3 linked regions of the Tribolium castaneum genome follow. The main gene of each other region encodes a partner of the protein of the gene in region 2 in a complex. Links are inferred from orthologs where the notes say so. Each region holds a gene or a part of one and is shown on either strand. Other genes may lie near its edges. The genes, in order: Tim9a, Tim10 and Mulk.

The links.
Region 1: the proteins of Tim10 (region 2) and Tim9a are in contact, whole or in part, in a crystal structure (PDB 2BSK), measured with the Homo sapiens proteins. The link is inferred for Tribolium castaneum from reciprocal best matches to the Homo sapiens genes TIMM10 and TIMM9. Residues at the interface, in NP_036588.1 of Homo sapiens: Glu16, Met17, Asp20, Met21, Arg24, Ala28, Cys29, Lys32, Cys50, Arg53, Cys54, Ser56, Lys57, Tyr58, Asp60, Ile61, His62, Arg64, Met65, Gly66, Lys68, Leu69, Leu72; in NP_001291414.1 of Homo sapiens: Lys15, Leu18, Gly19, Tyr21, Asn22, Lys23, Thr25, Glu26, Cys28, Phe29, Leu30, Val33, Asp35, Phe36, Thr37, Thr38, Arg39, Glu40, Val41, Glu45, Thr46, Glu50, Leu53, Leu57.
Region 3: the proteins of Tim10 (region 2) and Mulk are in contact, whole or in part, in a cryo-EM structure (PDB 7CGP), measured with the Homo sapiens proteins. The link is inferred for Tribolium castaneum from reciprocal best matches to the Homo sapiens genes TIMM10 and AGK. Residues at the interface, in NP_036588.1 of Homo sapiens: Glu40, Glu42, Leu43, Ser44, Lys45, Gly46, Ser48, Arg53; in NP_060708.1 of Homo sapiens: Phe49, Gly50, Asn51, Gln52, Leu53, Ile54, Pro55, Pro56, Val60, Ser91, Gly92, Met93, Asp94, Val95.

What each region holds. Positions count from the first base shown.
Region 1 is NC_087402.1:6,646,572-6,650,890, reverse strand, and holds Tim9a (mitochondrial import inner membrane translocase subunit Tim9), read right to left. Parts: upstream 2,954-4,319; 5' UTR 2,159-2,953; intron 1,887-2,158; exon of another isoform or gene 1,527-1,886; intron 1,474-1,526; exon of another isoform or gene 1,006-1,473; intron 903-1,005; 5' UTR 874-902; coding exon 811-873; intron 763-810; coding exon 667-762; intron 651-666; exon of another isoform or gene 620-650; coding exon 482-619; 3' UTR 432-481; downstream 1-431. Other genes in the region: ras-related protein Rab-32, read left to right, coding at 1-6, 55-235, 283-431. UniProt on the Homo sapiens protein: Mitochondrial intermembrane chaperone that participates in the import and insertion of multi-pass transmembrane proteins into the mitochondrial inner membrane.
Region 2 is NC_087394.1:33,997,174-33,999,537, reverse strand, and holds Tim10 (mitochondrial import inner membrane translocase subunit Tim10), read left to right. Parts: upstream 1-1,322; 5' UTR 1,323-1,462; coding exon 1,463-1,717; 3' UTR 1,718-1,819; downstream 1,820-2,364. Other genes in the region: probable RNA-binding protein 19, read right to left, coding at 1,839-2,006, 2,054-2,162, 2,217-2,333.
Region 3 is NC_087402.1:192,848-196,148, forward strand, and holds Mulk (acylglycerol kinase, mitochondrial), read right to left. Parts: upstream 2,173-3,301; 5' UTR 2,146-2,172; coding exon 2,036-2,145; intron 2,017-2,035; coding exon of another isoform or gene 1,991-2,016; coding exon 1,644-1,990; intron 1,600-1,643; coding exon 1,203-1,599; intron 1,055-1,202; coding exon 679-1,054; 3' UTR 656-678; downstream 1-655. Other genes in the region: E3 ubiquitin-protein ligase TRIM33, read left to right, coding at 1,821-2,016; derriere protein, read left to right, coding at 2,304-2,504, 2,554-2,931, 2,978-3,149, 3,239-3,301. UniProt on the Homo sapiens protein: Lipid kinase that can phosphorylate both monoacylglycerol and diacylglycerol to form lysophosphatidic acid (LPA) and phosphatidic acid (PA), respectively. Does not phosphorylate sphingosine. Phosphorylates ceramide.

The sequences.
Region 1 (4,319 bases), on a different chromosome or scaffold from region 2:
GAAAAGGTACCAAAACCCCTAAATTGTAATTCTCTCCTCATGTTTTTTGTCTAGTGGTTGCTCGATCTGCGCAAAAAAGTGCACTTACCGGGAGGTGTTCCCGTACCTGTTGTGATTCTAGCAAATAAGGGTGATATTACGATTGCAACCCTGCCTCAAGAAATAGTGCATTTCTGCGAGAAATACAACATATTAGCGTGGTTTATCACTTCAGCGAAGGATAATGTCCACATAGGTAAAAATAAGCGTTATTCAAGCGTGGTAAGTAATCTTTTATTGCAGATGAGGCAATGTTGACTCTGATAAATGCAGCAGTGGAAAATCACGAAAATTTGCAATTTCCCGCTGCCGTAGACAATGACGTGGTCCATTTAGCAAATGAGGATACTCAGTTTTGTCAAAACAATCAAACACACTGTTGTCAAAGATGAGGCTATATTTTGTAACAAACTAACAATAACAAACACAAATAAATTATCGTTCAGGTCGGATTTTGGCCGAGTTTTTGCGCCGCCGCGATTGCATTCTCATTCGCAAGCATTTGGAACTCCTGGAATCGTTGAGAAATGCGTTGATTTACTTTGAGAAATTTTTCGAGGCAATTTAACGCACAGCGATCCTGTAATAGCAAAATAAAATGATCAGAAACCGACAGTCGTTACTTACTTCACTCCCTTTGATATTCCGAGATGTGAAATCCGAAACACAGTCCGTGAAACACAATTCGGCTAGTTTATTGTAAGAGATGAGGAAATCTTTGAACTGCAAATAAAAATTTGAGAATTGAAATTGTTGTTTTTTTGAAATTACCGTTTTAACTTGCTCTGCATCGACATTTTCGAGCCCGGCACCGGGGGGAAGTGTTACATTCATTTTAATTTAAGTTTTGTTGTGGTTTTCACCACAGAACAGAAAGGGTTAAGAAGTGATAATTCCCTAGTAAATCACTGGCAACACGAGAATCCAGCGCCTCTGGTGCTGAAGTGCGTTACTACCACGGTAAAGTGCCACGTTTGAATAAATTCCTTTTATATTGTTTTTTATTATTTTTATCTTACAAGTTTCATTGCAAATTGTTTAAAATAAAAAAATATATTTTCATTTTAAACAAAATGAAAACGTTTTATATTTATTTTAAACAAAATTTGAAATGAAACTTACAAAAAAAGTTGTTTTGGGGTAATAAAACACAGATTTTGTTAACATTTTTATTGTACACTTGAGTAACATAACAAATTAAATTTTTCAAAAAATTAAAGTATTGTATTATTTCTTAATTATACAAAAATTATAAAAAAATTAAATCAGTCAGTGTTGGCATGTTTTGCCTGTCTGCTCGAGACTTAAAACAAAATAAGGTCTGCTTTGCAATGACTTTTACCTTGTCTGTCAGCAAACAGTTGCCCACGCTACGACCACGAGGAGGTACATGCAGTGCACTGACACACTCGAGCGCAAATAAGAAACTTAAAAGTAAATTCTGAAATACCCTAAATAGCGAAAACGCCAAAATTTTGAACTTACAGGATCCTCAATTTTGCAGGCATTCCTCCACAATTCTTGAAGCTTTGGATTCTTAGGGAAGGTGAAGAAATGCTTATTGGACTGTCCTTTGTTGGGAACATAATCACTGGTGCATCCGGGGTATTTGCAGGAATATTTGCGATAACCAGCCATGACTAAAGTTCAGTTGAGTAGTAGAAATCAAAAATCCGTCACTCCAGACCAATGCCTTTAAAATAGAAAGAAACACCAATCAAAAAGATGAGGTTATATTAATAAAATAAGAGATACTTATCTTTTTGGTCGGCGCTCAACACCAGGAATTGACTCACTAACGAACTGTAATCAGAATTTTTGCTTTGATTAAACGATTAAACAAATAATTGCTACATACTTCCGGTAACACGTTGAACGATGAGTGACAAAACAACACTTTTGGCGCGATATTTTCGGTGCGATCTGCGCGCAAGCGTAGATGTCATTGTTACGTCAAAAAATATAATTTAATGAAATCCCTAATAAATACGCGCTTGTTTTAAAATAAGCAGTCGTCATTGGTCGTCCCTTTTCATCTCCCCGGGAGTGCAAAACCCCCCTCGCCTATACTCTCGTGTTGCCAATGCGCGTATCCCACTTTCACCCCCATGGTTTTCACGAGGTAAATTTGTGAGGTTATGCAAATCAGTGATTGTCACTTGACAAGAGGTGGATAAAAGAGAAAACTGCACAGGCATCCCGAACTGATATAGCCAAATCGAGCTCTCACTGACACAGCTTCCTTGATTAATGAAGGGACTTTCCCTTCACACGGCTGGCCGCATTGCTTAGTTCCTTGGCATATTTTTGTTTCTGAGAGGGAGCCACTATAAAGTAAAACAATTCTGACAGTTCTAAGGTTAAGTGTTGTCACACTGCTGTCAGTGCAGAAGATTTCTAAGGCAAAACGCATTAGTTTTAGCTATATAGTTGTAGAAAACGTATTCTACAAACATTTGGCACGTGTTTTTACTATGAGGAACCAAAAGCGCATGTTGCCATGTGAGCGACCAAGAGCATATGCCAAGAGCGAACTGCGAAACACAAAACGAACGTAAAAAGCATCATACAAACTTGAACATTTTGCCGAATGGTAAACAAACATTTTTATGCTCACGAAAATGATCAAAAGAGTGTTGGAACGCATTTGCAACCAACTGTACAAAATGTAATTAGTGTCCAAATGCTTTGCATTTCAAATTTAGATTAAAACTTGTGGAAAAAAATTAAACTAAGCTTTGTCTTGCCTTCCTGTTAGCAAAATTTTGTATAAATCTTGTGCAAAAGAGGTTGAAAACTTAAATTTGTAAAAAATATGACGGCTGTCACGTTTGAAACCAAGTGAATTTTTCAGCAGCAACTAATAGATGGCGCTACAATAAAGTAAGCTCTCAAAAAACACTTTTTTTGTTCAATGCGACCAGCCGTGTAAAGGGTACCTCCCTTCACTAATCAAGGAAGCTGTGCTCACTGAATTAGGTTTTACTGATGATGCGGATAGATGGCCTTAGTGTTTTACGGGAAAAAAAAATCCTATTGGCGGATTTAAAATTTCAGATTATTGAAGAAAAACGTGGTGCCGATGCGCGGCTGACAAGTAAAAATTTCACAAACGTCACAAATTTCACAAATTTGAGTTTTATGAAATTATTAGTTAGTGAAATAAATAAATACGACACCTTCACCTACCTTCATATCGCTTCCACGTTGGCTACCGTTTGTAGCATTAAAAAAAATTAAAAACAACACCAATAAAAAATCTTTATTTGCATGAAAATTACAACAAGCGACATAATTTTACGGCTGTAAAAAACAGTCAACAATGTTATATTTAAGGATTGCTCTAATTGGTCAAATTAGTCAATAACTAATTTGTCCGGCAAGAACCACGTGGAGGTTTAGAGCATTCTTGCCAGGAAAAATGGATATAAGGATGAGGTAAACAATGATTACTTCAAATGAAGGGAATAAAGGAATTATTGGTTTGTGAAATGAAAAAATAGTACACAAAAATCAAAGCTTTTTCACTTGGCGTTAAATAAATGCTCTTACCTTTATACTGCATCTGCTACCATTTGTAGCAAAACCTAAAAAATAAATTAAAAACACAACCAACAAAAAAATTAATTTGTAGGAAAGTTACAACAAGCGACTTTAATAAATATTATACAGAATAAAGAATACACAATACGGTATAATATATGGCACACAAGCTATTAAATCAACACATCACAAGATAAAACGCAAAAAAATGCACCTACCTTCATATGGCTTCTGCGTTGGCTACTGTTTGTAGCATTAAAAAAAATAATAATAAAAATGAAACCAAAATAAAATGTTTATTTGCATTAAATTTTGAGCAAGCCACTTTCATTCATTGAAATTAAAGGCAAAATTTCGTGGCAATAAATTATTTGAGTGGTTTATTTTATTTATAGTTACTGTATTTAAAATGTGTCACTCAAAACATCACTTTTCAATACCGCATTTAAAGATTTTAATTGCAATTAAGTTTTATGAAATTATTGGTTTGTGAAATAAATAAATACGACACAGCAATAAAATACACCTACCTTCATATCGCTTCCACGTTGGCTACCGTTTGTAGCATTAAAAAAAATAATAATAAAAATGAAACCAAAAAAAAATAATAATAAAAATGAAACCAAAAAAAATGTTTATTTGCATTAAATTTTGAGCAAGCCACTTTCATTCATTGAAATTAAAGGCAAAATTTCGTGGCAATAAATTATTTGAGTGGTTTATTTTATTTATAGTTA
Region 2 (2,364 bases):
CATTTTTCCGTTTCTCGATATCTTTAATAGTTTCGCCGTAATTGGCAGTTGAAAATTGGAAAAAATTGAAAATGGAAACTTTTTTTGGCGTTTTTCTCGGAAACTGTAAGACTTAGAGCAACGAACAAAAAACCATCTGATAGCGCTTAATTTTATCTATTTTTTCGACCAAACCCGGAGCCGCTCCGGGCAACGGTTCCGGCTACAGAGGCGATCAAAGTTTTTCACTAAAAAAATTCATAAAAAAAAAACTAAAAGTCGTAGAGAATTCCGGTTTGTTCCACTGAATTCTACGGCTCATTTTACATATTATATCGATTTTTCACAAGAATTAAAAATTTAAAATTTTTTGCCTAAATTTAGGGTAGCCATTTGTCATACTGAAAAATTTTATTCATTAAAAAAATTCATAACTCAAAAACTAAAAGTCGTAGAGCAATGCGGTTTGTTCCATTGAATTCAGCGGTTTATTTTCTGTATTATACCAACTTTTCACGAGATTTAAAATTTTAATTTTTTTGCCCAAATTTCCTGAGTAAAATACAGTACCTTCAAAAAGTTGAAAAAAAAAATTTTTTTAAACTAACTTCAGCAAATTTTTATGGACTTCTACATGTCTTAACAACCCACTAAAGTTGTTAAAAGTCCACAAAAAGTCCAAATGTTCGATTTTTTGATGTTTGATTTTTTCAATTTTCGTCGCAGTTTTTGTCGATTTTGGGTACCCGGAACATTTGTCGAGCAATAGCTCCGGAACTATTAGAGATAACCCCATGATGTGTATTATTGTTGGAAAGCTCTTTAAATTATCTATTTTTTTCAAAAAATATTATTGTTCTCCGACTAATAGTTTTCGAGCAAATTGCTGCTAAATGCAAAAATCAAATTTCAACTGACCAAGGGTTAGGGCAAACTAAAATAGATCTCTACTGTGATTTCTATTAGATTTGTTGTAAACCATCCCTTAAATAAATGGAAATCACGTGTAAACTAGACTTTTTGTGCTTCCATAACGCAACGAACGTACACGCAACGTAACCGCAAAAGTCCATGTGAGCATAACCACAATTTTAAAAATTCACGATTTTTGATATTTTTAACAACTCCTAGTTTGTTAAATAATGAGTTAAGGCATTGGTGGAAGTATGCGCTTAGGGACACATGCAAAAATAGGAATTGGATGGTAAGTTCCAAAAGTAGGCAACGACTGACCATAACCTCACTTTCGCACCGAAAAATCGTTTTATTGCAATAATTTGTCGGTTCGCAGGACCATATGTACAACGTTTGGTATTTACTTGTTCTACTTGTCCAAATCCAGTGTTGAGAAAAGGCGTTATGATAATATGAAAATAAGGGAACGCATGCGACTCTCGAACGTTGGTGATTACGAATTGGGTCCTCGTCACACTCCTCGAACTTAATTATCGTTAATAACGCGTCACATTTGCACGGAATTGAAATGGCAGAGAGTGACGCTCAAAAGTTGCAGTTGATGCAAGAATTGGAAATCGAAATGATGGCAGACATGTACAACCGTCTAACTACAGCATGCCACAAAAAGTGCATTCCTCCCGTTTACAACGACGCGGAAATTGCCAAAGGCGAAGCCGTTTGCATTGATAGATGTGTGGCCAAATTTCTAGACATCCATGAACGCATTGGCAAGAAACTTGGCCAACTTTCAATGCAAGACGAGCAACTTCTTAAGAAATAATTGGAGCGCCCCGTAGTTGGACTTAGTTATGTTTTGTTTTTGTTTGTAATTTAATTTTGTAATGTTGGTTTATTCTAGAGGTAATAAACTTGACTAGACAAAGTGTAGTTTTTATTTTTAATTAATCAATGCTTAAAACACTTTTCTTCGACTTGACTGCTTCAGTGGTTTGGAAGTGAGCCGCTGTTCGCTTCCTGATATCGTCCACACTGTCCTCACTTGAGGCCCACTCGAGAACTAGTCTCCGACCGTACAAGTGGGTACTTTGACACAAAGCCTCAAATGCATTCTAAAAAAATAATTATGCTAACAAGTTACAATTAATAATTAATTCACCTTGGCATCAGAGGCTGCCACAAAATCGACAAACGCAAAACCTCGATGTGAGCCCCCATCCAAGGCCATTTTCTTTGGGAGCCTTAACGCTTTAATTTCGCCAAAAACACTAAAACAATTAATTAAGTCATGTTAGTAGTACAATTAAATTTTAATAAAATGCCTAAAAAGTTCCCTAATTTCCTTCTGGTTAGCCTGGAATGGGATATTTCGAACCAAAATCTTGGTTCCTGTTTGTTTCGTTGCTTTGGTGCTTTTTTTAACAACTTTGACCTCGTTGCTAAAATTTAGTAAAATAAGATTAAGCGGAA
Region 3 (3,301 bases), on a different chromosome or scaffold from region 2:
TTCTAGCGAGTAACCACATATGTATACATGTTTCCTATGATTTACCGTTAACTGTATGCAAGTTGGCTCTGGTTGTTTAACACCAGATCATTTGTTTTGTTTTTTAGTTTATTTTTTTGTCAATCAAGTGTAACTAGATTTAGTACAGCAGTATTGAACCAAGTGATTCCGTTTGGTTGTAAACATACCTCAAGAAGAAAGAAAAAAAAAGTAATTTCCAAGCCAGGGCCATACCAATCCACTACCGCAAGTACAGTGGTAAATGTGTTCAAAATATAATACCAGTTTGTACATGAAGCTTGAGAGTTGTTTGTTCAGTACGATTTTATATAATTTGGCAAACGGTTGACTAAAGATAACGCACTGAAAAACAACTCGAGAGTTGTTTTGTAAATACTTAACTTAATGAATAATCACTAGAACTGTATTTATCGATACACTTATTTATTTACGTCATGTGCAGTTACAATTAATCATTCACGATTTAGTTGACGGAAAAAATGCAATGATTCTCAGCAATGTAGAAAATATGATGATAGTGTAAAATTATGCGATCTATGAATTCCTAATTTCTTTGTTATTTAAATAAATTTACATCAAAACGGCGGCTTTCAACCTTATTTTTAACGATTTGTAAATGTTAAAAGAAAACCAATTTGGGCAGTTTAATTATTTTATTTACAAATTTTCTTTTTTACAAAACACATTAATTAATTTCGGTAATAGCGTAACTCTGACCGGTTTCAGCTCATAATTTTCATTATCAATGGAAAACCATTTCTCCTCATTTTGATTGATTTTCGGTTGAATTTCCACAGATCTCGCCTCAATTATTTCCCTCACTTTTCTTTTTTCTCCTTTTTCCGACTTCCATCCTTCTTTAACAAAATCGAAATAATTGACACTTTTCGGACCAACATTGACCACCAATTTCGGGACTTGTTCACTTTCAACTTCTAGATTAAAATCAACCGTTGAAATATACTTTTGATAAATCATCTGACATTCCGGATTAATAATATTCGAAAAACCCGGCTTTTGGTCTTTGGCAAATCTAAATAATTGTACAAAAAGTAAGTACCACTTACCAAAGTGGGGTCTAATCAGATTATAATGTAATTAAAGTAATAACAATATAATCTGATTACTTTGTATTCAATTACTTTTTTTATTATTTGTAATAAGTTACAAATGCCACTTACCTCTGGAACCACTTTTTTTGTTGTTGTGACTGTTTCGCACAATTTGAACAACCTGAACAAGGTGGTGTGTAATTAAGTTCAGCTGAACAATTCCAAGACAAGTTATTTCTTAATCCGTTAAATAAGTAAGTCACATAATTACGAAATTTGCCATAAAGCCAGTAACTGTCTCTTTTAGTTTCCGCGTCTCTGTAAGCCCCCCATTTGATCCCAGAAACTGCATAAATCGGTTTGTTTTCATTTTCCAACACCTCAACTTTTAACACATTAATAGGTTTCACAACCTCTTCAACAACTGCCATTGTGGCATCAGCCAACGAGCGAACCTTCTCCAAATGACTCCCACAAGGAAACAAAATTTTAGCAACAGAATTTGTTTTACCCAAAGGCAAGACACCTTCAAACCTTTATTATTTTCACCAAAAACCCACTAACACAAACCTATTGGAATCAAACCGTTGGTGTTTTCCTGCGTACGCCTCAAAAGCCCCGTTATCACCTCAGAGACAGTCCCATCGCCCCCAGCCACAACCACAGCATCAGTCCCGTTTAAATCATTGATAAGAGTCCTGGCGTGCCCCTCTGACTCTGTCCTAACAACATTGACACAAATTCCAGCCAAATGCAACAGGGGGGCGCAATATTTCTCAAATTCATCACCAGCTTTACGCTTATTGGCATTGGGGTTGAGAATTACCGTAACGTTACGGGGGTCAGCCTCCACACGAATTGGTTCAAGACCAAATCTTGCCGCCTTTTCGCAATAAACACGCATCAATTCTTGGGTCCTAACATAAAATTTGAGGGGGCTAATGTGAGGTTATGTCACTCACTCGAAACGTTCCTTGGCGTATTCAAAGCCGTACAGTAGGGCCACGGCTGCAAACGTTGACTTCTTCCAATGATTGCGTAAAGTTTTTGCCGTTTTTAGTACAAAAGTCATGTTTTGTTTAAATTTATTAGCATAACCTCAAATTTGACTAATGGAATGGTTCAAGGACAAGACGGCGCGTAATTTGAAAATTGCCGTAAATTAGAGAATTTGCAATTTCCTGGATTGTTAGGCGTCGTAATTGGTAAATTATTTAGTTTGTGTGAAAAATGCGGTTGATAACTGTGGTCTTGTTCCTTGTTTTAGCCCAAATCGAAGCCAAAACGTATTATTTTAATTTGAATAAAACTACAAATGAGTTCATGGTTCGGAATCGTGTCAATTTTAATCAAACGAATTATCCCGCAATTCAAATAAGTGAACTCAGGAATAATAGGAACGTCACACGTAAAACTGCCACAAATACGAATGTAATAATAATGTTGTAGTACTAGTAAATTAGAAAAAAAATTGTTTTAGGGCACTAAACCCTACATTCACCCACTTTTAGACTCCGAATGGAACTACAATTGGACCAACATCACCCGAAATAAACTACCATCATACATTTACAAATATTACGAAGCATATTCGCAAAATGTGGCAGCTCCTGTTCACATTCTCTTCAACGCAAATCCGCTAAATTCAACCATAATCAAATTTAATTCGAGTAAATTGGACGTTGCGGAGGTTGAGTTACATTTCTACCACAAAGTTGAGGCCAATTTGACACAAAAATCGCTAATTTTGCGCCTTTATCAAGTCGAAAATGATATCAATGAAACGGCTTTGATAAATCCAGATTCACACAAACTGCTCAATGTGATTTACATTTATCAAGCTGAAAGTGGCTGGCAGGTAACAATTATATTGAATTTTCATTCAACACTTAAATCATCGCCAGGTGTTTAAATTAACCAAATCGTTGCATAATTGGATAAAAAAAACAACGGATTTGTCGATATTTATCACAATTTCGAAACCAAACGACGAACAATTTAATCTTTTTAACGACAGTAATAGAAACGCGTTTAGGACTTTTCTTATATTAAAATCAGAATCGCCGAGAAGTGATGGTAAGTTATTTTTTCTAAGTTACATAATTTAGGCACAAAACACTTGGCTCCATATTTTCGCCCAACCCTGTATGTTTATTGTATTGTAGGAACAAATGATGAAATTACCGAAAGTAACGCTTGCAGAAGACATGATTTATACGTCGACTTCC